3 linked regions of the Macaca mulatta genome follow. The protein of the gene in region 3 purifies or fractionates together with the protein of the main gene of each other region. This does not show direct contact. Links are inferred from orthologs where the notes say so. Each region holds a gene or a part of one and is shown on either strand. Other genes may lie near its edges. The genes, in order: WWOX, STAT5A and ERBB4.

Region 1 (9,944 bases), on a different chromosome or scaffold from region 3:
TCTGGATTACCCAGTGATAGAAGATTTGCATGAACACTTCAAACAACAACAGTGATTTAATACGTTTTTCTAGTTAAAATTTAATGAATACTTTCCAGCAAGCACTTAAAGAATTAATATCGGCTGGGCGCGGTAGCTCTCGCCTGTAATCCCAGCAGGCTGGGAGGCGGAGGTGGGTGGATCACGAGGTCAGGAGATCGAGACCATCCTGGCTAACATGGTGAAACCCCATCTCTACTAAAAATACAAAAACAAAATTAGCCGGACGTGCTGGCGGTCGCCTGTAGTTCCAGCTACTCGGGAGGCTTAGGAGAATGGGGTGAACCCTGGAGGCGGAGCTTGCAGTGAGCCGAGATCACGTCACTGCACTTCAGCCTGGGCGACAGAGCGAGACTACATCTCAAAAAACAAACAAAAAGTACCAATTCTCCACAAACTCTTTTAAAAAATAGAAGAGGAGGAAACAGTTTCTAACTGACTCTGTGAAACCACTATTACTCTGACAACAGAACCAGACGAAGATATCACAGAAAAAGGAAACTTTAGATCACTTTCTCTTATGAATAGAGATACAACAATTTTGTACAAAATGCTAGCAAGCCAAATTCAGCCACATATATAAAGAATTGTACATTATGACTAACTGGGATTTATCCAAAGAATTCAAGGTTGGTTTTACATTAAAAAATCAGTCAATACCATTATAGTATATGGTATAATAAAAACACATAAAAACACATTTTAAAAAGGTCCAACACTCTGTCTTGATGAAAACTTTTAGTAAACTTGCATCAAAGTGGCATTTTCTCAACTCAATAAAGGGCATCTGCAAAAAAACCACAACTGACATCATACTTAATGCTGAAAGATTGAGTACTGTTCCCTTAAGATCAAGAAATAAGACAAGGATATTGACTCTCACCACTTTCATTTAATATTCTGCTAGAAGTCCTAGCTAGGGCAATTGGGCAAAAAAACAAAAAAGCAGAAGACTGAAAAAAAAAATCCAGATTGGAAAGAAGTAAAACTGTGTTTATTTGCAAATGAAGTCACCTTATCTGTAGAAAATCCTAGAAATACACTTAAAAAATATTAAAACTAACAAGTTCAGCCAGGATAAATGTAGGATAAAAGTTTAATATGCCTGAGTCAATTGTATTTCTATATACTAGCAATGAAGGCATCCCATGTTCATGGATCAGAAGATTTAATATTGTATAGCTGACCAAACTCTCCAAATTATCTACAAATTTAGTGCAATCTCTATTAAAATTTCAGTTGACTTTTTTGCAGAAATTGAAAAGCTGATCCTACATTTTATATATGAATGCAAAGGAACCTGAAGAACCAAAACAAGCTTGAAAAAGAATAGCATTGAAGGCCCTCCATTTATCAATTTCAAAACTTTCCATAAATCTTTAGTAATAAAGACAGTGTCATACTAGCAGAAGAATAGATCTATAGGTAATAAAATAGAATTGAGAGTCCAGATGAATCCATGTATATGGTAAATTGATTTTCAGCAAGGATGCCAAGACAATTCAAAATAGTCTTTTCAACAGTGATGCTAGAACCACTGGGCGTCCCCATGCAAAAGAATGAGGTTAGATCACACTTGCATAAACTACACAGAAAAAAATAGCAAAATAAATAAATAAATAAATAAAAATGGGTCAGAGACTTAAGAGCTAAAACTGTACAGCTCTTAGAAGCAAATATGGTAGTATATTTTTGTGATGTTGACTTAGACAATTATTTCTTAGATATAACCCCGACAGCACAAGTGACAAAAGAAAAAAAAAGATAAATTGGGTTTGATCCAGAATCAAAAGTGTTTGTGCTACAAACGATACCATCAAGAAAGTATACAGATGATCTACAGAATGGGGGAAACATTTACAAATTAAATATCTAATAAGGGATTTATATCTAGAATAAAGAGCTTTCACAACTCAATAATAAAAACTCAGTTAAAAAATAAGCATAAAATCTAAATAGATATTCCTCCAAATGTGATACACAAATTGCCAATGAATACATAAAATGATGTTCAACGTCATGAGTCATTAGGGAAATGCAAATGAAAGCCACCATGAGATTCCACTTCTTAGTAGGATGGCTAAAATTAAAAAGTCAGATAACAAATACTTAGGAAGACATGGAGAGATGAAAGTTCAAATACAGTCCTGGTGGAAATGTAAAATTGTACGGCCACACTGGAAAACAGTTTGGCCATTGTTCAAAAAGTTAAACATTAGGTTACCATATGACCCAGCCATCCCACTCCTAGACGTATTCTCAAGAGAAAAGAAAACATGCATTTCCACAGCACTTTACAAATGAATGTACATAGCAGTGATATTCCTAGTAGCCAATAAATGGAAACAATCCAAATATCCATCATTGGTGAATGGGTAAACAAAGCGCAGTATATTCATATAATGGAATATTATCTGCCCATTAAAAAGAAATGAAATATTGATATATGCTACAACATGGATGAACCTTGCAAACATCATGCCAAGTAACAGAAGCCAGTCACAAAAGACTATGCATTTTATGGTTCCATTTAGTATATACAATGTTCAGAATAGGTGAATCTATAGGACAGAAAGTAGATTAATGGTGTTTTGGGGATAAGAGTGTATGTAGGTGGGTAGAGGGTGGCTAGTGATTGCTAATGGGTTTTTTTTTTTTTTTTTTGAGTTAAAGTGCCATACAATTAGAATGTAGTTATGGTTATACAATTATTTGAGTATACTGAAACAGTTGTACAGTGTACATACATAGATTTTTTGGTATGTGAATTATATTTCAGTAAAGTTCTTTAATTAGTTTATGCTTATTGTAGAAAAGTTGGAAAATACCCAAAATCATAAACAGGAAATAGAAAAAAAGTAATCCTGACTGGATATCTGGAAATTCTTTTTGGGGGGTATGGGGTATGAATCACACATATAAAATTTAATTTCCTACTTTTTCAATTAAATTGAGAAAGTTTAGGAATCTTTGGCTTAATCATTGTTTATCTACTCCTCTTGCTGGATGTTAGGTTGTTTCTAGTTCATATAGAATTTTATAATTTTAGTTGATGTATCATGCATTCTTGGGCATAAGCTTTTATATGAAGTTTGAATATTAGGAAAGAATTTTGGAAGCTATATTAGTTTTCTAAAACTATTATAACAAATTAACACAGATTGAGTGGCTTGAAACAACAGAATTTTAGTCTCTTACAGTTTCAGAGACCAAACATCTGAAATCAAGTGGTCTACAGTGTTGGTTCCTTCTAGAGGCTCGAAGGAGCATCTGTTCCGTGCCTGCCTCCTAGCTTCTTGTGACTGCCAGCCGTCCTTGGAATTTCTTGGCTTGTGTCTAAGTCACTCTAGTCTCTACATCTTTCCATCTCCTTCTCTGTGGGTGTTCCTTCTCCACTTCTCCTTTTTTGTAAGGATAGTCATGTCATTGGATTTAAGGCCCACCTTAATCCAAGATGATCTTGTTTCAAGATGTGGGCTTAATCACACTTGCAAAGACTCTTTTTCCAGATAAAGTCACATTCACAGATCGCTACCATTCAACCCAACCCACTATGGAAGCAATGGGGTGGGAGGTACCATTCAACCCACTATAGAAGCAGTGGCATATCAAAAGGATGGGAGGTAGCCATGGGAATGGTCTGCCCCAGGTGCACGCAAAATGGGGAAGCATTTTGTATAGAATGGAAAAACAACAGCAAAGATAGCTAAAAGTTGATCTGCTTTTTACAATCATGTGCTGACAGTTCTAAACATTATCAGTGATAAAATACTTCTCCCTAGTGATATTAACTGTGCCATTTCTGCTGCCCCTGCTACATACATGCTTTACTGCTTGGAAACAGGATTACTTGGTGAAATAATATGAACCTTTCAATTCTCATGATACATGTTTTCAGCTTAATATCCAGGGTGCAACCCCCCAACTTTATACAAGGTAATACAAATATAATAGTATGAATACATATGCTAATTTGATAGAAAATATTTTAATGTTTACTAGTGTAGTTGGAGGTGTTAAGTATTGCACTGGTTATTTGTAATCTAGTTTTATAAAATTTCTAATGTCACTGTTTCTGTTAGACTCTTAGAAGACGCGTGGTTCTCTCATAGATATGTAAGAACTGTTTATATAGTAAAAATATGCGGCCTCTAAATGATTGCTTATATTTTTCACTTTTGTTTTACTTTTTTAGAGAGCAGAATATTTAATTTCTATAAAGATTTTTCTTTATGTTTCCCTTTATTGCATGCCAGTGTTCGTTTTTTAAAAACTTGTAACTCTTAGGCTGCGATGTGAAAACTGTCTTTCTTTTTTTTTAATTTGGAGACAGAGTTTTGCTCTAATGCATGCAGTGGTATGATCATAGCTCAATGCAGCCTTGAATTCCTGGGCTCAAGTAATCCTCCTATCTATCTCAGCCTTCCAAGTAGGTGGGAGTACAGGCACACGCCACCACACCTGGCTAATGTTCTGGTGGTGGTTGTTGAGATGGGGTCTTGCTGTGTTGCTCAGGCTAGTTTTGAATACTGGCTCAAGTGATTATCCTGTCTCAGCCTCCCAAAGTGCTGGAATTTCAGAGGTGAGCCACTGTGCCCAGATTTCTCTCTCTCTCTCTCTCTATATATATATATATATATTTTTTTTTTCTTTCTTTGAGATGTAGTCTCTATCTGTTCCCCAGGCTGGAGTGCAGTGGCATGATCTCAGCTCACTACAACCTCTGCCTCCTGGGTTCAAGCAATTCTCCTGCCTTGGCCTCCCAAGTAGCTGGGATTATAGGCGCGTGCCACCACACTGGGCTAATTTTTTTATTTTTAGTAGAGACGAGGTTTCACCATGTGGTTAGGCTGCTCTCGAACTCCTGACCTCATGATTTGCCTGCCTCAGTCTCCCAAAATGCTGAGATTACAGGCGTGAGCCATCGCGCCCGCCCTTATTTTTATATATCTTTCATAACGTTTCTATCTCTTTCTCTCTCTTTCTCTGTTTCTGTGTGTGTCTGTGTCTGATAATAAAATACATTAAATTTTATTTTATAACGTGTTTTATAAGGTCAGTAGATTTGTTTGTGATTTTAATGGCTGCATAGTGTTCTATCATGTGGGTATATTCTAAATGTAATAATTCCTCAATGGTGTATTTAGTTTACTTCTAGTTTGCTGCCTTAGTTTATCACAAACATGGTGAATAGCCTTGTGTATATTTTGTTGTACAATTCTTATTGGTACATTATGATTTTTCACCAGTATATATTTACTTTTTGAGAATTTAGCTTTTTGATTCACATGAAAGGATTACTTTTATCGTTAACAGTTTTATTATGTTTGTGAGGCCTAGGCAGGAGGATTGCTTGAGACCAGGAACTCAAGATCACCCTGGGCAACATAGCGGGAGTCCGTCTCTACAAAAATAAAAAAGAAATAAAGTAGCCATGCATGGTGGTGTGCCCCTGTAGTCCCAGTAACTCAGGAGGCTAAGATCGTCTGAGCCTGGGAGTTTGAGACTGCAGTGAGTTACGACCACACCACTACACTCCAGCCTGGATGACAGAGCAAGATCTTGTCAGAAAAAAAAAAAAAAAAGATTAAATATATACAAAATAAGAGAGAATATTATGACAGGCTTCTACTTACCTATCTCTAGGCTTCTTTATAAAATATTCATTTAATCTGATCTCCACAAGAAATTCTGTATCTTTAAACAGTATGTACCTTCTCTTTAGACAGAGCATTTACCCCCTTGCTATGCTTGCTTAGCACCTACCAAGTCCTGGGTCCTGTGTCAGTTGTTTTGTTTTTTCTTTGTTTGTTTGTTTGTTAATTTGTTGAGATAAGAGTCATGCTCTGTTGGTCAGGCTGGAGTGCAGTGGCATGATCTCAGCTCCCTGCAACCTCTGCCTCACGGGTTCAAGCGATTCTCCTGCCTCAGCCTCCCGAGTAGCTGGGATTACAGACATGCACCACCACACCTGGCTAATTTTTTTTTTGTATTTTGATAGAGATGGGGTTTCACCATGTTGGTCAGGCTGGTCTCAAACTCCTGACCTTAAATGATCCACCCGCCTCGGCCTCCCAAAGTGCTGGGATTGCAGGTGTGAGCCCCCATGCCCGGCCCTATGCCAGCCTTTCTAACAGCATAATTTCTCCTTTATTACTCATAACTATTTTAAGGGCTATTTTTATTTACAGACAAAATGAGACTTGGATGAATTAAGAAAGACGGAGTTAATCAGGTGGTTGAATCTGAGTTCCAGCTAGGGTGACAACTCTTCCCGGATTGGCTGTCACTGTCCTGGTTTTCGCACTGAAAGTCCTGTGTCCTAAAAAGCCTCTCATTCTCAGCAACAAAGGACAGTTGCCCACTCAAAGCCATGCGACATTCTAGGGTATCCTATTTCTAAATGGTTGGAATCTAGAAGACGGAGAAAGAATTTCTCATTCCTGAAGGAGCATTGATTATGCTTGGTTGTAGTGTTTATGTTCACATCATGTGGAATATTTTATTTTTCAGGCCTCTTCATGTGCTTGTGTGCAACGCAGCAGCTTTTGCTTTACCCTGGAGTCTCACCAAAGACGGCCTGGAGACCACCTTTCAAGTGAATCATCTGGGGCACTTCTACCTTGTCCAGCTCCTCCAGGATGTTTTGTGCCGCTCAGCTCCTGCCCGTGTCATTGTGGTCTCCTCAGAGTCCCATCGGTGGGTTTGAATTGCATATTTGTTCACTTACCCCCTTTCTCATACCAGCTAATATTCCCCCAAGGCTCTCATTCTGAAAATAATTTTCATTAGTCCTACTTGAGACATGTGGGTGGACTCAACTTGGCTTACTTAATTTTTCCAGGTCTTTTTTGTGTGTGTGTGTGATTGTAGGGGACTGTTGAGAAGGACTGTCTAGAGCAACGAAGATTGTTTTTATGACTGTACTTCAAGCTCCTCATCGATTTTGCTTAGAGATGGAATAATAATTGATGAAATCTGAATGGCGTGACCTTTATTGATTTGTAATTCAACAACTTCAACATCTTACCAAGAAGAATGTGCAGTTACTCTAGCAGGAGAAACAATGCAATTAAAGCCTGCGAGATGAAATCCAATTGTTTTATAATGAGAAATTAGGGAATTCGATACAGACATTAGCTGTGTAATTGTGGAAAGGGAAGTACTGTAGTTAGAGCATATTAGAAATCTGGCCATGCCTCTTTTGGTTAAAATTTCAATTAAAACATCAGATGGCACTTTTTTCCTATTGCCATTAGGAGAATATTCAATTGACTGAAAAAGACATTTGAAAATTTCATCGTATTTTCAGCAGATTTGTTTCTAGAGTTGGATAAACAACTATTTGTCTAGAGAGAAATATTCCGAAAAGACAAAGGCCTTGCTGGATGAGGCTGGATTTAATATGTGTTAGGGAGATCTCTCTTTCACGTTTGCTTGGTGTGTGTTTTTGGGGGGGAGTTTACACTCTTAGCAGAGTAGCTAGAAAAAGAAATAATGTGAAAGGGGCGCATTTTTTTCTTCCTTCTTCTCCGTCTTAAGTCCTGAAATGTTTTAGTGACCCAGAATGAAGCTTACTTTTTTAATCATACTTCCATAAAATGTAACCCCTGGGACTTGGAAGAGATAGACCAGCCAAGGGTTAGCTTGAAACCTTTATCACTCCCAAACACAGGGGCTTATGGTGTAAGTGACACACTGCAGATAGATTTACTTTTGCCACTTTAAATTTATGATGGCTGAAATGAAAGGAAAATGCCAGTAATAATCCTCCCCCGTGTTAAAAGACATGAAACATCCAGTAATTAGGTGGTAACAAAATCTGGACAGCCTTATCTTTGCAAATCACACCAGGTTTGTGAAAGAAAGTGGAGTGGCCCTGTTAAGGGGCGAGGGAGGCTACTGTGGGGGCAGGCAGCAGAGAGAGCTCCAGAAATAAATCTGCCAGCCCCAGTCATCCACCAGATGTGGAGGGCACCACGGGATATGTTTAAATGAGCTGGTATTTAATGGGAGATTATGTTGAATTGTCAGCTGCTCACTCTCCTTTGTAAATCTGTATCTGAAGTGGTATTTTGTGTGATGTCTTTGTTCTCTCCTTAACTACAGTGTAATTCATGCCTACTTTGGAGATCCGAATCTTAGCTTCATTTAAAAGATTAATTTGAAAGGAAGGGACTTGGACTCTTGAATTAGACCTATCTTAGTTTGTAGGGAGGCCTTCCTGAGATGTGTTGTCGTGTTCACTCCTGTCTGATGGCTGGCACTAGTTTTCTGCTTTCCAATTATTCTTCGCACATTGTTGTAATTACTATTATTTTTTGAGAGAGAGTCTCGCTCTGTTGCCAGGCTGGAGTGCAGTGGCGCGATCCCAGCTCACTGCAACCTCTGACTCCCAGGTTTAAGCGATTCTCCTGCCTCAACCTTCTGAGTAGCTGGGACTACAGGCATCCACCACCACGCCCAGCTAATTTTTGTATTTTTAGTAGAGACAGGGTTTCACCATGTTGGCCAGGATGGTCTCGATCTCTTGACCTTGTGATTCGCCCACCTTGGCTTCCCAAAGTGCTGTGATTATCAGGCATGAGCCACCGCGCCCGGCTTCTTTGCACATTATTTAAAGGTGTTTTAACAAAATGGCAATTTCCCCAGGCTGGCTTGTGTATTACCTTTGCATTGCATCCCTTGGCTCCCATGAGCGAGCGTGGTGACTTGGTGCACAGGCGGTACGTGAAAACACTTCGCTCACTACCCAAGAACCCAGGGCCCTAAACCATGCTGTAAAATGCAAGTGTTGATATCTAATTACCTCCATAAACCTTGGCAGAATCTCTTCGTTGGAGTCAAGACCCCCTGTTAGGGGAAAAAATAAAGTCCTATGTTTGCAGAAAATATTATACTAGACTGCCCCAAGGCAAAATACTTATTAGCCTTCCTGTGTCTTCACTGTGTTTTAGTTACTCATCTGGAATCCGAGCAACTGAATTGAGTTTCTGCGTACCTAGAATACATCATAGTGAAATGAGAAGTTGACTTCCTTGCTGTGAAAAAATTTCAGATAACAGTTAAAGTAGAATGAAAAGGGCAGAGTGCTGGTTGAACAACCCTCAATGGCTGCAGCTGGATCGAGTGCCAAATTGCCCTCTCCCACCCCACACACAAAATCACGCAGTGACACACATACATACACACAAACACACACACACACACACACACACACACACACACACACACACACGGAGTTTCTGAGCTTCCGTGTAGATAGAATCCAGCCTAATTATTTTAGGCGGGAATTAAAAAAATCCTCAATAAAATTGGGCTTGGTGGCACATGCCTATAATCCCATCTAGTAAGAGGGTGAGGTGGGAGGATGGCTTGAGGCTGGGAGTTTGAGGTTGCAGTAAGCTTTGATCGTACCACTGCACTCCAGCCTGGGTGACAGAGTGAGACTCCATCTCTAAAATAAAAATTAAAAATTATTAGTTAAAAAAATGCAGTATAGGCCAGGCACAGTGGCTGATACCTGTAATCCCAGCACTCTGGAGTTTGAGATCAGCCTGGCCAGCATGGCGAAACCCCATCTCTACTAAAAATACAAAAATTAGCCAGTTGTGGTGGTGGACGCCTATAATCCCAGCTATTTGGGAGGCTGAGGCAGAAGAATTGCTTGAACCTGAGAGATGGAGACTGCAGTGAGTGGAGATTGTATCAGTGCAGATTGCACCAGTGGAGGGAGATTGTCATCAGCCTAGGTGACAGAGCAAGATCCTGTCTCAAAAAAAAAAAAAAAAAAAAAACCCCAAAAAGCAAAACCCCCACGGTGTATATACAAGAGTGGGCGGGGGTGGGGTGGGGGCCTCTTTTGTAGGGACATGGATGCAGCTGGAAACCATCATTCTTAGCAA
Region 2 (10,677 bases), on a different chromosome or scaffold from region 3:
AATTCCACTCAGCTGCCTGGCTCTGTGTGCCCTCTCTCGTCTCTCCAGGATCCTGGGCCTGGCCCTGCGATGAGGGGGCTGCAAAGAGTGGGCTCCTCCTGCCCACCTGACTGGCTGGGAAATGTGAACCTGGCACAGACTCTGCATCCTCTTCTCTTTGTCCAGAAAGAAACCGGCCTACAAGCCTCTCCCCCAGGCAGGCAGGCTGGGCAGCTGGGCAGAGGAGGCAGGACTCCCCTCCTACCCACCCTGTCCAGCCCCACACCCTTCCCCTCACGCTATTCCCAGAAACAGAGGACAGTCACTATGCCTCAGGCAGGATGGCCTGTGTTCTCTTGGTGACTTCATTGTAAGGCGACTTCCCTGAAGAGTGGTGGATAGGGGACAGCTGCAGGAACGGGCTTCACCCGAACTCCAGCAGCTCCTTCCCTTCCCCCAAATGTGCAAGAATTCCTCACCCTGTTCATATAAACACACACCCTCCCTAGGTCCTGCTCTGTCTTCATGGACAAGAACAGGGGTGGCATTTCTACAGGGAGGTCCCAGGGCCTGGCCTCAGAGGTGGGGCGTACTCTGAGCATGGGCCCATGGCCCCACTTCTAGAAGCCTTCTCCGGAGGGGCTGGCGTGCAGGTAGACTGTCCAAGCAGAGGCAAGGTGGGGGTGAAGCGGATGTTTAAGTGCTCCAGAGCTTCTCCCCCTCTGCCGCAGGGCAAAGAGATACTTCCTAGAAAGCCTCCAGCTTTCTTGGGAAGGCTGTTCACCCCCACCCCACCTCCCCTCTGGCTCCCATGTAACAGGAACTCTCCTTGAAGAAGGGACTTGGAGCACAGGAAACAAAGGCATCTCTGTACACCTCCCTCCACCCCCAAGGAAGGTCAGGTCAAGGTGACCTCAGTCTGTTCTCCCCAGGGTAGGGGCATGGGCAGACCTGATCGCCAAGGGCAAGGTAGAAAGGGGACCTGGGATAATTCTCTCTTTTTCTTTTTTGAGATGGAGTTTCACTCTTGTTGTCCAGGCTGGAGTGCAATGGCGCAATCTCAGCTAACTGCAACCTCCACCTTCCTGGTTCGAGCGATTCTCTTGCCTCAGCCTCCCAAGTAGCTGGGATTACAGGCATGCGCCACCACGCCCAGCTAATTTTTGGATTTTTAGTTCAGAAGGGGTTTCACCATGTTGGCCAGGCTGGTCTTGAACTCCTGACCTCAGGTGATGCACCTGCCTCAGCCTCCCAAAGCGCTGGGACTACAGGCGTGAGCCACCGCGCCTGGCCCTTTGGGATAATTCTCTTAATCCATAAACTCAAACCCACCTTCATGTAAGTGTGCACAGAGCACACTGTCCCACTCAATAGAGCAGAGGTGTAGGCTGGGTGAGAATGGAGGTGCTATGCTCCACACCACAGAACAGTGGTGGGCTAGCCCAGCCCAGGGAGGCCTCTTCACTCTCCTGGTGTGTGCCGGGCTTGGGGAACCCTAGAAAGGTTATACTGAGACCCTGCTAACAAGGCCCGGCAACTTGGATCCTGGTGCCATATGTGCACTTACTGGCCAAACAGCTTTGGGCAGGTTTCTTTCATGGACTAATCAAAGGGTGTGATTCTGGCTCTGACTGCCTTCAAGGTTATTGAAAGGATCCATTGAGTTGAAGAGCACAACCATGTTTGTACACAAATGCGCCTCAATGTAGTTCAGGATACGAATATAGTGTGCCAACTGCAGCCTAGGCTGCAGACTATTATTATTCCTAATAAAATATAGGAGGTCTTCTTTTGGAGAATATATTTCTTTTTTTTTTTTTCTTTTTTCTTTTCTTTTTTTTGAGACGGAGTCTCACTCTGTTGCCCAAGCTGGAGTGCAGGGGCGCAATCTCAGCTCACTGCAACCTCCGCCTCCCGGGTTCAAGAGATTCTTGTGCCTCGGCCTCCCAAGTAGCTGGGATTACAGGTGCGTGACACCACGCTCAGCTAATTGTTTTATATCTTTAGTAGAGACGAGGTTTCACCATGTTGGTCAGACTGGTCTCAAACTCCTGGCCTCAAGTGATCCTCCCACCTTGGCCTCCCAAAGCGCTGGGATTATAGGAGTGAGCCACTGCACCCAGCCTGGGGAATATATTTCTGTAAGATTTCTAAAATCCTTCCTCACTCCCCATCTAATGCTGTGACTTGGATTTGGGGGTGAAGAGCAATTAGGGGCAAGGAGGCCAGCCTCGGACCCCAGCTCAGTAAGACCCTCGACAGTTTCTGATCTTCCTGAACCCCCATCCCATGGCCTCAGTTTTCTCCTCTACAGTCTGGTTCCCCAGAACCACCAGGGTACTTTGTGGTGGGAAATCGCAGAGGCCAAACCAGGGGACTGAAAGCAAAAAGAAACCCCAAATTTGACATTTTCAGGTAGTTGTGTTATCTCGAGCCACGACTACAGTCACCTCTTCCCCTAACCCAACTCTGACACCCTTCCCTCTACTCCCTTGGGTGCCCCTTGCCCATCCTGGGAAAGTTCCGCAGCTCCTCCTCCTCCCCACTGCATCTCAAAGGGAGAACAGGCACAAAGAAATGGAGAGAAACTTAGACAGAATCAGAGAACGAGATGGAGACCTAATGAGACAGGGAGAGACACAGAGAGAATAAAAGCCAGAGGAGGGGCTGGGCGCAGTAGCTGATGTCTGTAATCCCAGCACTTTGGGAGGCCGAGGCGGGCGGGTCACCTGAGGTTGGGAGTTCAAGACCAGCCTGACCAACATGGAGATACCCTGCCTCTACTAAAAATACAAAATTAAAAATACAAAATTAGCCAGAAGCGGTGGCATATGCCTGTAATCCCAGCTACTCGGGAGGCTGAGGCAGGAGAATCACTTGAACCTGGGAGGCTGAGGTTGCTGTGAGCCGAGATCGAGCCATTGCACTCCAGCCTGGGCAACAAGAGTAAAACTCTATCTCAAAAAAAAAAAAAAAAAAAAAAATTGCCAGAGGGGGAAATATGCAATGAAATACACAGATATTTGGGGCCTTATAGTCAGAAACCAAATGAGGAGACTGTCAAACAAGGGCACAGCCACTGGGCACAGGGTCAGGGGGTGGGTGGCATAGGAGGGCTCTGAAAACACAGCCACACACCCTTTTAGGCCCATCCTTCCCGTTCTGTTCTCTGGCATCTCAATGCTAGCTTTTTAGGACCTAGGACTACCCACACTAAAGCCAAGCCCAGCCCAACCAAGACAGATGTTTGGTGGGTAGGGCTGCCTGCTGGAGCAACAGGCCTCTGCAGGCCCTGGAGGAGGAGTCTAGAGAGGCGGCTGCCTGGAAGAGAGCAGGCAGGACCCCCTCTCTTAAGCAGGCACCCCCACCCCGTCAGGTGCCCAGATGTCAGTGCATGGCAAGGGTGGCCCTCTGCCCTCCAGACCTGGCCGAGAGGACTTGAAAACCTGAGGAATCTGCTCCCATCAACTGACTTCCACACCTGCCTGAAGGGAACTGCTGGAGGGCACAGGTGCCAAGTGGGACCCACCCAAATGTGGCAATGGGTTTGTATCCAGCCACCAACAGGCTGCATGACAGTGGCGAAGTCACTTCCCCCCTCTGGCCTTTGTTTTTCCACTTGTAAATCATCTTTATGGTCATTTCCAGCTGTGGCACTTGGCTTCCATTCCAGGTGACCCCCTAGCTCTGTGTCTGACCCTCCCCTGCCAAATCCATTGCTCAGAGTGGGAAAGGAGAGGAGAGGGGCTATACTTCCTCCTCCCTGGGGCCCCCTGCAGAGTATCTGGGAAGCAAGGCTTCCCTACATCCTCCATGCACCCCCTTAGAGTTTTCAATTCCTTTCCTCGTGATCCTGCCAACGAAGACACTGTGACCACACAGGGAAGGTGGGGAGAACCCAGACATTTTGGCTTCTGCAGCTTTAAAGTTCTTTTTTTTTCCTCTGAAGTTAAAAGAATGAAACCGGGAGAGGTAGTAAGGGGCAAGAAGGGAGAGTGGGAATGGAGAGAAAAGGGCAGCTCTGAGAAGCAGATGGGGAGGGAGGCAGATGAGATGCACCCGCCCCCCACCCCCAGCCCAGGACATGAAGTCTTGGCTCAGCTGTGCTGTGAGTGGGCAGCTGGGCTGGCCCCTCCTCTGGTGCTGCCAACCCGCTGCCAGGCAGAGGGGAGGCCCAGAGGAGAGGGAAGCTGGGCAAAGGGGATGGAAGGCGTCCAGCCCGACCTTACCAAACCCCTTGGGCCTCGTGGGAAGGGGCCCCTTGGAGAGGGGGACTGAGGCTGTAGACAGGATGTTCACTGCTGTGGCAAGGCCTGTAGGCAGTTTCGAAGTTGGGAGGACTCAAGACGGTCCCTTCCTGGACTTTTCTGAAGGTAGAACCAGCCTCATAAATAACTAGGCTGGGTGAACGGGGGCTTTAGCTAGTTTATGGATCACAGTCGGCTGGTGAGGTCACGCGCCCACTGTGTGGCCCTGGGTGGCCCTGGGCAAGCCCCTTCCCCTCTCTGGACTTCCACTTCTTACCTGCAAATTATGGAGAGGGGGAGGGCTGAAACACATGACTGCCAAGGTTCTTTCCAGTTCCTCCGTCAGGGTTGAGTTTAGATGGCGGGAGTAAAAGAAGGAGGGAGGTGCTGCGGTGGTGGGCTTCTCTAGAATCCCCAGTCCTTCCCCTCCCTACAGTTTTGCCTCTGAGGTCACAAAACCTGTGGCCCCCAAGACACACACGCGCACACACGCGCGTGTACGCACACACCCCACACATTTGTTTTTTAATCTAGGGGCTCAAAAGATGACACTCGTCAGAGCTGGAAGGCATCGCCAATTGGTCCACCCTTCCCTCCTCCCTTTTTGCGGATGAGAAAACTGAGGCCCAGGTTTGGGATTTCCAGAGCCCGGGATTTCCCAGCGCCCCCTACCAACCACATTCCCCCGGCTATTCTGACCCGCCCCGGTTCCGGGACGCTGCCTCGGAGCCGCAGCCGAGGGCCGGCTGGGACTCCCGGGGGACCCCGCCGTCGGGGCAGCCCCCACGCCCGGCGCCGCCCCGCCTTGCAGCCCGCCGGAACGGCAGCCGCTGTTGCGCACTCGCAGGGGAGCCGGCGACCGAGGGCGGAGGCAGGGAGGGAGCGAGCGGGGCTGGGAGGGGTGCTGGCGCGGGCTCGCGCGCTGTGTATGGTCTATCGCAGGCAGCTGACCTTTGAGGAGGAAATCGCTGCTCTCCGCTCCTTCCTGTAGTAACAGCCGCCGCTGCCGCCGCCGCAAGGAGCCCCGACCGGGAGCGAGAGCCGCGGGGCGCAGAGCCGGCCCGGCTGCCAGACGGCGCGGCCCCACCAGGTGGGTGGCCCGGTGGCGCGTCCTGGGCGGCGCGCGGAGAGGGGACACTCGACTGCCGCCCCGGCACCTCCGACACCCGGAGCCCGACGGCCGGGCGCAGCGCGGGGATCAGTCCCGGGCACCGCGAGGGAGTTGGCACAGCGCAGACAAGGGAGGAGGGACAGGGGTCGGGGATGAAGGGCAGTGGCCAGGGAGGGCGCTGTCCTGGCACGCATCGTAGAGGGAGCACTGTCGGGCTGGACCCGGGGAGACACTAGTGCACAACTGGGGGAGCAGCTGAAAAGGGGAGCGCCCAAGTCCCCAGCCCTCTCTCCTGAACAGCCCCAGCCACGTGCCCGAAAAGCCCTAGCCTTCGAGTGGGAGCTGTCGGCGCTGGCCTAACTTTGGGTTGGAGTATCTCCCCTTCCCAGAAACTGGGCCCGAGGCAGGCTGGGGGGATCCTTGCAGCCCTCTCCAGAGGGCCTGTGGGCCTCCCGCCTTCAAGTTTCTCTTTCATTTTCTAGCCGTACCCCCCACTGGGGAAGCTCCGGTGGGGCAAGGGGAGAGGAAGACGGGGAGGGCACCTGCTTCTGCAGAGCACCTTCTCCTCCCCTTCAACGGGTTCCTCGTTGGAGGGGATGGGCTGCCCTCCATCTCTGTTCCCGAACAAGAAAGCTGTCTGTGGGAAGGGAGGGGCCTGGCCTGACCGCGGTCCAGGGATAGGTAGGCATGGCAGGGCCAGGGGCAGGCCCGGTTCCTTGGCCTCTGGAGAGGAGAGCACTTCAGCGCTCGGCTCGCCCTAGGTGAACGGCCATGGCAGGCTGGATCCAGGCCCAGCAGCTGCAGGGAGATGCGCTGCGCCAGATGCAGGTGCTGTACGGCCAGCACTTCCCCATCGAGGTCCGGCACTACTTGGCCCAGTGGATTGAGAGCCAGCCATGGTAGGCACGTCCCGCCCTGCCCCTCCTCAGAGGGTCCCTACCATCCAGGCCCTTTGGCCTCTAGTTCTACTCATGGTGGTTTGGTGTGACTCTGGTCCTGCCTGTCCTTCTCTGTGCGGAAGGGGTGGTGTCCCTGTGAAAGGGGAAGCCTGGGAGGACAGAGAATGGTTTTAGACTCGGATGTCTGTGGAGCTGCTGGGAACAAGTCTTGTGGGCCCTGGAGTGCCCTCGGTCATGAGCCTGGGGTCTCCACTTTATTCTGGGTCTCTGACCTCCTTGCCCAAGGAGGTGCCACAGTAGATTTTTCTCTCCTGCCCCGCCCCAAGGGATGCCATTGACTTGGACAATCCCCAGGACAGAGCCCAAGCCACCCAGCTCCTGGAGGGCCTGGTGCAGGAGCTGCAGAAGAAGGCGGAGCACCAGGTCGGGGAAGATGGGTTTTTACTGAAGATCAAGCTGGGGCACTACGCCACGCAGCTCCAGGTGGGTGTGGGCTCTGGGCCACCTACGGGGAGGCAGCATCATCTTGTTCCAGCATCAGAACCCCTGGGTTTTTTCCTGGCCTGGCCACTGACTCACCATGTGACCACAAACTTATTGGGAAGTTTTCTTTGATTTCCCCCACCCCCTCTTTCTAAATTAGACCTGTCAGATTTCTTTAGCATATTGCAAAGCAAGGGTGGGAGGTGTTTGTTGCCAACAGAGGGAGATGGGTGAACTGGCCTTGTGGAAGCAGCAGAAGGGATGGAGGGAGACTGAGTCAGGATTCCTGGGTTGGAGAAGGGAAGACCAGCACTCTAGAAATGAGGCAACCAGACCTCCCTCTTGGGCTTTTTTCAAGGTGAGAGAGGAGCTGTCCCAGAGACAAGAGCTGGACACAAGGGCTTTGAATTGAGGGTTTAGAAATAAGATGTAGCTTCTTCTTTACTTGAGGAGTAGGGGTGTGGAGGAAGAGAGGGAGTTTTTGTGGAAGCAGGAAAGGGGTGTGGGTAGTGATCACAGTCAAGCATTTATGGGAACTCACTTATGTTTCCTAGACAGCCCTTCAATACAGACAGCGGGGTGCCAGGGAAATACAGGTTCATCCCAGAGGAGGGAAAAACAGGAGAAACCTGAGGGGAACCAACATAGGAGGCCAGGGGCAGGGTGGTGGGAAGTACCTTGACCTTGGCATCAGATGTCCTGAGTCTGGAGTCATCTGCTTTCTCACTTGGTTGCATCTGGACAAGTACATAATGTCTCTCAGTATCAGTTTTCTCATCTGCGAAATGGGGATTATAGTTTCTGCTTATGTCCTAGGGTTTCCATGCTGTTAGTGCAGTGGTCCCCCACCACTTTTTGGCACCAGAGACCGGTTTCATGGAAGACAATTTTTCCATGGACCGGGATTGGGCAGGGAGGTGGTTTTGGGATGATTCAAGGGCATTACATTTATTGTGCACTTTATTTCTATTATTATTACATTGTATTATGTAATGAAATAATTATACAACTTACCACAATGTTGGATCAGTGGGAGCCCTGAGCTTGTTTTCCTGCAACTAGACAGTCCCATCTGGGGGTGGTGGGAGACAGTGACAGATCATCAGGCATTAGATTCTCATAAGAAGTGCATAACCTAGATCCCTCGCACACGCAGTTCACGATAGGGTTAGCATTCCTATGGGAATCCAGTGCCACTGCTGATCTGACAGGAAGTGGAGTTAAGGCTGTAATGCGAGCAATAGGGAGCAGCTGTAAATCAGATGAAGCGTCATTTGTTTGCTCACTGCCACTCACCTCCTGCTGTGTGGTCTAGTTCCTAACAGGCCACGGACCTGTACCAGTCCATGGCCCAGGGGTTGGGGACCCCTGTGTTAGAGTCAAAAGAGATGGTACATTGAAAGTGCTTCATAAGACCAGGCGCGGTGGCTCACGCCTGTAATCCCAGCACTTTGGGAGGCCGAGGCAGGTGGGCCACCTGAGGTCGGGAGTTCAGCCTGACCAATGTGGAGAAACCCCGCCTCTACTAAAATACAAAATTATCTGGCATGGTGGTGCATGCTTGTAATCCCAGCTACTTGGGAGGCTGAGGCAGGAGAATCGCTTGAACCCAGGAGGCAGAGGTTGCGGTGAACTGAGATCACACCATTGCACCTTTAGCCTGGGCAACAAGAGCAAAACTCCGTCTCAAAAAAAAAAAAAAAAGGGGAAAGTGCTTCATAAACTGTGGGTTTTTAATTCACTCCAAACCAGATATGAAGATGTTGGAGGGGAAGATGAGGATGAGGAACAGAAAGATAGAGGTGTCTGGGAGGCTTTCTGGGAAAAGCTGAGGCAGAGGCTGAAGGAGAGGAAGGGCTGGGCATGGCATGGGACTGGCATGGCTGGAGCAGAGGTTGGCTGCTGGAGGCTGCTGTTGGATTCTTTCAGAACACGTATGACCGCTGCCCCATGGAGCTAGTCCGCTGCATCCGGCACATTCTGTACAATGAACAGAGGCTCGTCCGAGAAGCCAACAATGTGAGTGTCCCTTGGGGATGGGGAGGGGTGTTGAGAAGTCCTTCCATATGCCTTTCTCTCCAGAAACAACTGTGTTTATAGAAAACAGCAGCACGAGGAGAGCACCAAGAAGATGAGGGACGTGGGCAAGTGTGAGAGGTGGCAGCATTGCACGCCAGGGTGGAGTGACCCCCTAGGTCCAGTCCCTGGCTCTACCACTTAACTAGCTGTGTGACTTGAGCAAGTTGCTTAATCTCTCTGAGCTTCTGTTCCTACTGTCTTTCTTTCTCTGTCTCTCTCTCTTTCTCTTTCTTTCTTTCTTTCTTTCTTTCCTTCTTTCTTTCCTTTTCTTTCCTTCTTTTCTTTCCTTCTTTTCTTTCCTTCTTTTCTTTCCTTCTTTTCTTTCTTTCTTTCTTTCTTTCTTTCTTTCTTTCCTTCCTTCCTTCCTTCCTTCCTTCCTTCCTTCCTTCCTTCCTTCCTTCCTTCCTTCCTTCCTTCCTTCTTTCTTTCTTTCCTTTCTTTCTTTCTTTCTTTCTTTCTTTCTTGTCTTTTTGACACAGAGTCTTGCTCTGTCACCCAGGCTGGATCTCGGCTCACTGCAAGCTCCGCCTTCCAGGTTCATGCCATTCTTCTGCCTCAGCCTCCCGAGTAGCTGGGGCTACAGGCGCCCACCACCATGCCCAGTTAATTTTTTGTATTGTTAGTAGACATGGGGTTTCACTGTGTTAGCCAGGATGGTTTCGATCTCCTGACCTCGTGATCCACCCGCCTTGGCCTCCCAAAGTAGTGGGATTACAGGTGTGAGCCACTGTGCTCGGCCCCTACTGTTTTTTTTTCCCCTGAGACGGAGTCTTGCTCTGTTGCCTAGGCTGGAGTGCAGTGACACGATCTCTGCTCACTGCAACCTCCGCCTCCCAAGTTCAAGCAATTATCTTGCCTCAGCCTCCCGAGTAGCTGGGATTACAGGTGCCCACCACCATGCCCAGCTAATTTTTTTTGTACTTTTAGTAGAGACAAGATTTCACCATGTTGGCCAGGCTGGCCTTGAACTCCTGACCTCGTGATCCACCCGCCTCAGCTTCCCAAAGTGCTGAGATTACAGGTGTAAGCCACCATGCCCGGCCTGTTCCTACTCTTGTAAAATGGAGATAGCAATCCTACCTATCCATGTCAGAAGAACTAACACAGGCAGGCTCAGAGAAGTGAGGCCCTGGGAGGGGTAACGGGGACGCATCTCCGCAGTTCTGAAATAATAAGAGCACTGGGCATCTACACGGACAATGGCACAGTGCTCTACCATCTGCAATAGAGCAAAAGGAATTTCACAACATGACGTAACAGTTAGAAATCTTAGAACAGTGACCAGAGCAAAGGTCATATTATTTATTTATTTATTTATTTATTTATTTATTTATTTATTTTTGAGACTGAGTCTTACTCTATCATCCAGGCTGGAGAGCAGTGGTGTGATCTCGGCTCACTGCAACCTCCGCCCCTTGGGTTCAAGAGATTCTCATGCCTCAGTCTCCGGAGTAGTTAGGATTACAGGGACCCACCACCATGCCCGGCTACTTTTTGTATTTTTAGTAGAGACAGGGTTTCACCCTGTTGGCCAGGCTGGTCTCGAATTCCTGACTTCAAGTGATCCACCTGCCTCGGCCTCCGGAAGTGCTGGGATTACAGGCATGAGCCACTGTGCCCGGCCTATTATTTATTTATTGTTGTGGACACGATTTCAGGATTTACTCAGCAGACATTTACTGAGGTCTTACTGTACATCTGATGCTGGGCTATCATCAGAGAAACACATAAAGCCCTGGTTCCTGCCTGGAAGGAATTCTGGCAGCGATGGATTCTCTAGAGATGAGCTGAGTGCTAAGCGGGCCTACGTGGAAAAAGCACCCAACTCAGATCGGGGCAGGCTGGCAGGGGAGCGTCCTGAGGACAGGCATGTCTGAAC
Region 3 (4,279 bases):
ACAGTTCTGCTGCAATCAGTACCATTATGGTCAAGTCACTGTCATCTGCTCTAGTTCCTTCCTGCCCTAGGCTGCTTCTGCTAAAACCGCATGCTCAGCTTGTTTGGCGTCTTCATGGAGCCTGTTATTTGCTGTGGGTCTAAGAAAGGGAAAGCTTCAGGCTTCAGGCATCTGTATTTCCTATCTGTTCTCAGCTCCATGGAAATTCTTAAGGGATGGAGCTATAGATAAGAGAGTGGGAAATGGAGATCCAGGTCTCAAATGAAAGGCAGGGTGGTTTGATTTTTAAGCTCCCCTGATACTTTTTATTTATATATTTGCTGCTTCTAGAAAAACCAAAAAAGGAAAGTGATTCATACATAGAATGCCTGTACAAATAGTAACTAATAACTTACTACCCCCAGGAGATTCTGGTCCTTGCCAGGGTGCGGTTTCAGAGCTGTAAAAGGCAAGGGATATGAACATTGATATGACCCAGTCCCAGAATATTTTAGATTCAGAAAAGGTCAGAGATTTTCATAACTAGCAATGACCTCCGGATTAGGGACCATGAATGTGCAGAGTGAGGACAAGGAAAGGGCCTAAAGCTGGGTCTACTGTAGAAGAAGCAGAATCATTTAAGGTTAATTATGTTCTGATGTGGCCTCCTTAAATACTTTCAGGTTGAGACAATTTCTAGCCCTTTAAGATTAAATCAGTGGCTTTGGACTAGAATCTGCTTAATAAGAATGAACTCCAAAGGTGAAAAAAACATAAAATCTAAAAATCAAAGGGTATGGCTTTATAAATGTGAAATTTTAGTTTGGCTCAATGTCGGTCAGTTTGGAAATGTGGGAATAACCGGAGAGATGGCATAACTGGGGGCGGGAGGCGGGGCGGTGATTATATCCCTACCACCACCTAATCCTCAGGGGCTACTAGTTACTTACTGTGCACACTTTTAAAGTACTTTCTAATTGTGGACCATGAGTGGCAGAGTGCTGCGGGCGGAGGCTTTTTGCTGAAAGCAACGTTGACTTTTCTTTTATTTCTAGGGAAAGTCCTGTCTGTAGATAAGCACCGTGGGACAATGGAGAAAATGCTGACTTGTTTTTTTAAAAAATCTTTTCTGTAAGCGCCCCTCCGATGGTCTGTCCACTCTGCGGGCCAGCTGTCCCAGGCCTCTGCCAGGGAGGGAAGAGGAGTGCTTCAGTGCATGGCTTCGGTGAGCCCTTTAAATCCAGCTTCCCCTGCCCCCACCAAGCTGCTCCCTCTCCCTGACAGGTGTTTTCCCAACTCCGGAGGCCTAGGATTTTGGGGAGTGGCTGAGCCAATGAGATTTCCCTTTGGGGCGGGGGGCGGGGGAGAAGGGCGTGGCTAGTTGGGTCAGAGCATGGGCGGGGTTTGCGCGGCTGAGCAGAGCCTGCCTGGTTGCGTGGAGGGTTGTTTTATTCCCACCGCCCCCCCCACCTTTTTTTTTTCTTTTTTTTTTTTTTTTCTGGAGTCTTATTAATTTCTCTGTGGGCTGCAGCTGGAGACCGCGGAGCGTTGGAAATGACGCTCGGAGCTTTAATTACCGCAGCCGCCGGACAAGTGTGAGGAAAGCTGACAGGAAAAAGAAGGACGGGATCCGGGGAGAAGCGAGAAGCTCCCCCCGCCCCGCTCCCCTCCCCATTTGGACTGGAGGTGCAAGGAAACTGAAGAAGGAGCAGAACACAGCCCGGCTGCGGGGAGAGGCCGGAAACCTACTGCCTCTTTGCAATCAACTTTTTTTGGAAACCTTTCGCCCCCCTTCCTTTTTTATTGTTGACCAACCAGTGAGAGAGAGAGAAAGTGAGGAGGCAGCGAGCAAGCGAAGGCTCACGCGGGGAAATAACTGCACAGTTCGGCCCGGACCGCCACGCGCACACACCGAGCACACTCCAACACACGCACACTCGCCCCCTCTTCGGGCCCCGGCCCTGGACCCGCGGGCGCGGACTAGGTCGCCCGCCCTGGGAGTCGCTACACCGCGCGCGCCGCGCCCGCCCCCCTCGCGCCCCCACGCGCGCCCGGCTGGGGGATCTCCTCCGCGTGCCCGAAAGGGGGATATGCCATTTGGACATGTAATTGTCAGCACGGGATCTGAGACTTCCAAAAAATGAAGCCGGCGACAGGACTTTGGGTCTGGGTGAGCCTTCTCGTGGCGGCGGGGACCGTCCAGCCCAGCGATTCTCAGTCAGGTGGGTTCCTTCTGGCGCTCCGGTCGCCTAACCTGCCGCCGCCGGCGGGGCTGCCTTGAGTGGCTCCCCCGCCCTCTTCACCCATCCCGGGAGGCGTGGAGGGACCGCTCGACCGGGACTTCTTCCCTGGGCTCTCGGTCGCCCCTCTTTCCATTTGAAACTTACCCTGTATGTGTGCCTGTGCTTTATCGTGAAGAAATCACTCTGAGCCCCTCTTTTTTCTCTCCTTAACCCCCTGTTTTTCTTTCCCGAGCGTTTTGTGTGGGAGCCTAAGCGGGATCCCTTCTGGTGGCGCCTGTTGTTCGGGACATGGGAGACCCAAATCCCCAGTCAGAGGAGACTCTCCTGTCCCTGTCTGGTCCCTCGAGGGAGGAACCCTCACCGCCGGGGCCGCGGAGGGCCGGGGTCCTGGGGAGGTGCTGGCTGGGCCTCTCCCGCGCCAAGCCTGAAGGGCGGTGGAGAGTGGCGCTCAGAGACCCGGGCTTTGCACCTGTGTGTGCTGCCGGCGGCCGCTGCGCCCCCAGTCGCCCAAGCCTTGTGGGGTCAGACGCGACTCGTACCCAGCCCGGGCAGCAAGAGTGCAGCGGGCGGGCGCGCCTCGGTCCGGGGTCTGGAGCTCTGGGCCTCTTCGGCCTGCTTCCCGGAGCCCTCGCCCCATTGACTTGAGGGGCGCTTGCTCGCCTGCATGACCTCTTAAAAAAAAAAAAAAAAGGCTTGGCACACTCGAGCCAGAAGCCGGGCCTTCCCGTCGGTTGCCGTGTTTGGCTCCTGGAAGAGTTCTTCCTGTAGTTCAACTTGCTATTGGCCGGAGTCCTTCAAACTTGTCTGTTTACTGCCTGGCCGGGCTGCCGAGCCTGCGGGTCACTGGATCCACCCGAGGCGCAAGCGGCGGCGGCGGGTGCGCGGCCACTGCTTGCTGGAGAGCTCGAGCCCCAGGTACCTGGGCAGGCAAAGGGCTAATTGACCCCGAGAGGCAGCGCGGCGGGGTTGGAGCGCCAAGGCTTGCAGGACTAATGACAGCACCTGCAGTGCAAGGAAGCTCAAAGTTTCTGACACTTGAGTTTCCTGGGGATGAAAGTGGGACGGGAGAGGTCTGAGGAGGACCGGTGTCTGATGCGGCCAAGGGGTGCCTTTTGGAGAGCCAGGGAGATTTCTGAAACCATTCGGGGATGGTGACTGGAGCGTGGGAAGTAGCTTGAGGTGATAAAGCCCCCGGGAGTGGCGATAGGGAGCGCTTTAGGCCCCCGGAGGGTGTCCTTCTGACCTCACCAAGGAAACAGCAAGCTGTAGTTTTCCCGCTCCGCCCCCGCCGCCGCCGCCTCCTTTGCCTAGTAAACAACAAGTTACAATCATCGAGGCTTTCAAAATGACCTTCGAATGGCACATGTGCGGCGTTTTGTGCTGGCTGTTTGCACCCTCCCAATTACTCCGAAATTCTTCACGCATACCAGGTCCCGCGCTCCAGCCACCCCCGGAATCACACCAACACGGACTTGACATTCCAAGCGGCCTCTTAGATACATCTCTTTTTATCTCCCTCCCCACTTCGAGTCCCTTCATATTTTCCCTCAATGGGTTGATTATACACATTGACCCATTCAAAGGCAGTGGCGACCGACATGCAGGCTTAGCCGAGAGGAATTTCTACGAGGCGACCTACTGGGGGCTGGCTGGTTCAGCCTCTGCCGCTGAGGGACCCCGCTCCGAGTCCGCAGCAATTTGGTATTAACTGTGCGGCTCCGGGTTGAGCTATGCCGAAAAGCCCTTTTCAGAATTTCTGCAAGGAATGTAATCCAAATTAGTTCTGCAGCTGTCCTCTTCCTCGTCTCAGGCGACACCAGCTCGCGCCCTCGCTCATCTCTTCTCGTTTCGTTGGGCGAATTGTCAGACCCACAAGTGAGCCCATTTAGAGCGCGAGGATTAGCGTGCCATTGTTCCGTGTGTGACTCTGTACTTGAAATTCTGGGGGCACAAAGGCGAGTCTCACTTGTTCAAAACACAAAGTGATCCAGATGAAAGGGCCGTACAAAGAAAAACTCTCGGGTGCATCCCTGGTATAATTGCAACACGCATACTAA

What was found.
Region 1: the proteins of ERBB4 (region 3) and WWOX purify together in Homo sapiens (affinity purification with western blotting; 4 studies listed by BioGRID). This does not show direct contact. The link is inferred for Macaca mulatta from reciprocal best matches to the Homo sapiens genes ERBB4 and WWOX.
Region 2: the proteins of ERBB4 (region 3) and STAT5A purify together in Homo sapiens (affinity purification with western blotting; 3 studies listed by BioGRID, with this or other methods). This does not show direct contact. The link is inferred for Macaca mulatta from reciprocal best matches to the Homo sapiens genes ERBB4 and STAT5A.

Annotation. Positions count from the first base shown.
Region 1 is NC_133425.1:73,834,140-73,844,083, forward strand, and holds part of WWOX (WW domain-containing oxidoreductase), read left to right. Parts: intron 1-6,552; coding exon 6,553-6,738; intron 6,739-9,944. UniProt on the Homo sapiens protein: Putative oxidoreductase. Acts as a tumor suppressor and plays a role in apoptosis. Required for normal bone development. May function synergistically with p53/TP53 to control genotoxic stress-induced cell death.
Region 2 is NC_133421.1:66,625,888-66,636,564, forward strand, and holds the start of STAT5A (signal transducer and activator of transcription 5A), read left to right. Parts: upstream 1-4,782; 5' UTR 4,783-5,316; exon of another isoform or gene 5,317-5,475; intron 5,476-5,819; exon of another isoform or gene 5,820-6,098; 5' UTR 6,099-6,108; coding exon 6,109-6,236; coding exon of another isoform or gene 6,237-6,311; intron 6,312-6,536; coding exon of another isoform or gene 6,537-6,562; coding exon 6,563-6,719; intron 6,720-6,720; exon of another isoform or gene 6,721-6,840; intron 6,841-8,471; exon of another isoform or gene 8,472-8,582; coding exon of another isoform or gene 8,583-8,648; coding exon 8,649-8,738; intron 8,739-10,677. UniProt on the Homo sapiens protein: Carries out a dual function: signal transduction and activation of transcription. Mediates cellular responses to the cytokine KITLG/SCF and other growth factors. Mediates cellular responses to ERBB4.
Region 3 is NC_133417.1:117,705,181-117,709,459, reverse strand, and holds the start of ERBB4 (receptor tyrosine-protein kinase erbB-4), read left to right. Parts: upstream 1-1,479; 5' UTR 1,480-2,119; coding exon 2,120-2,201; intron 2,202-4,279. UniProt on the Homo sapiens protein: Tyrosine-protein kinase that plays an essential role as cell surface receptor for neuregulins and EGF family members and regulates development of the heart, the central nervous system and the mammary gland, gene transcription, cell proliferation, differentiation, migration and apoptosis.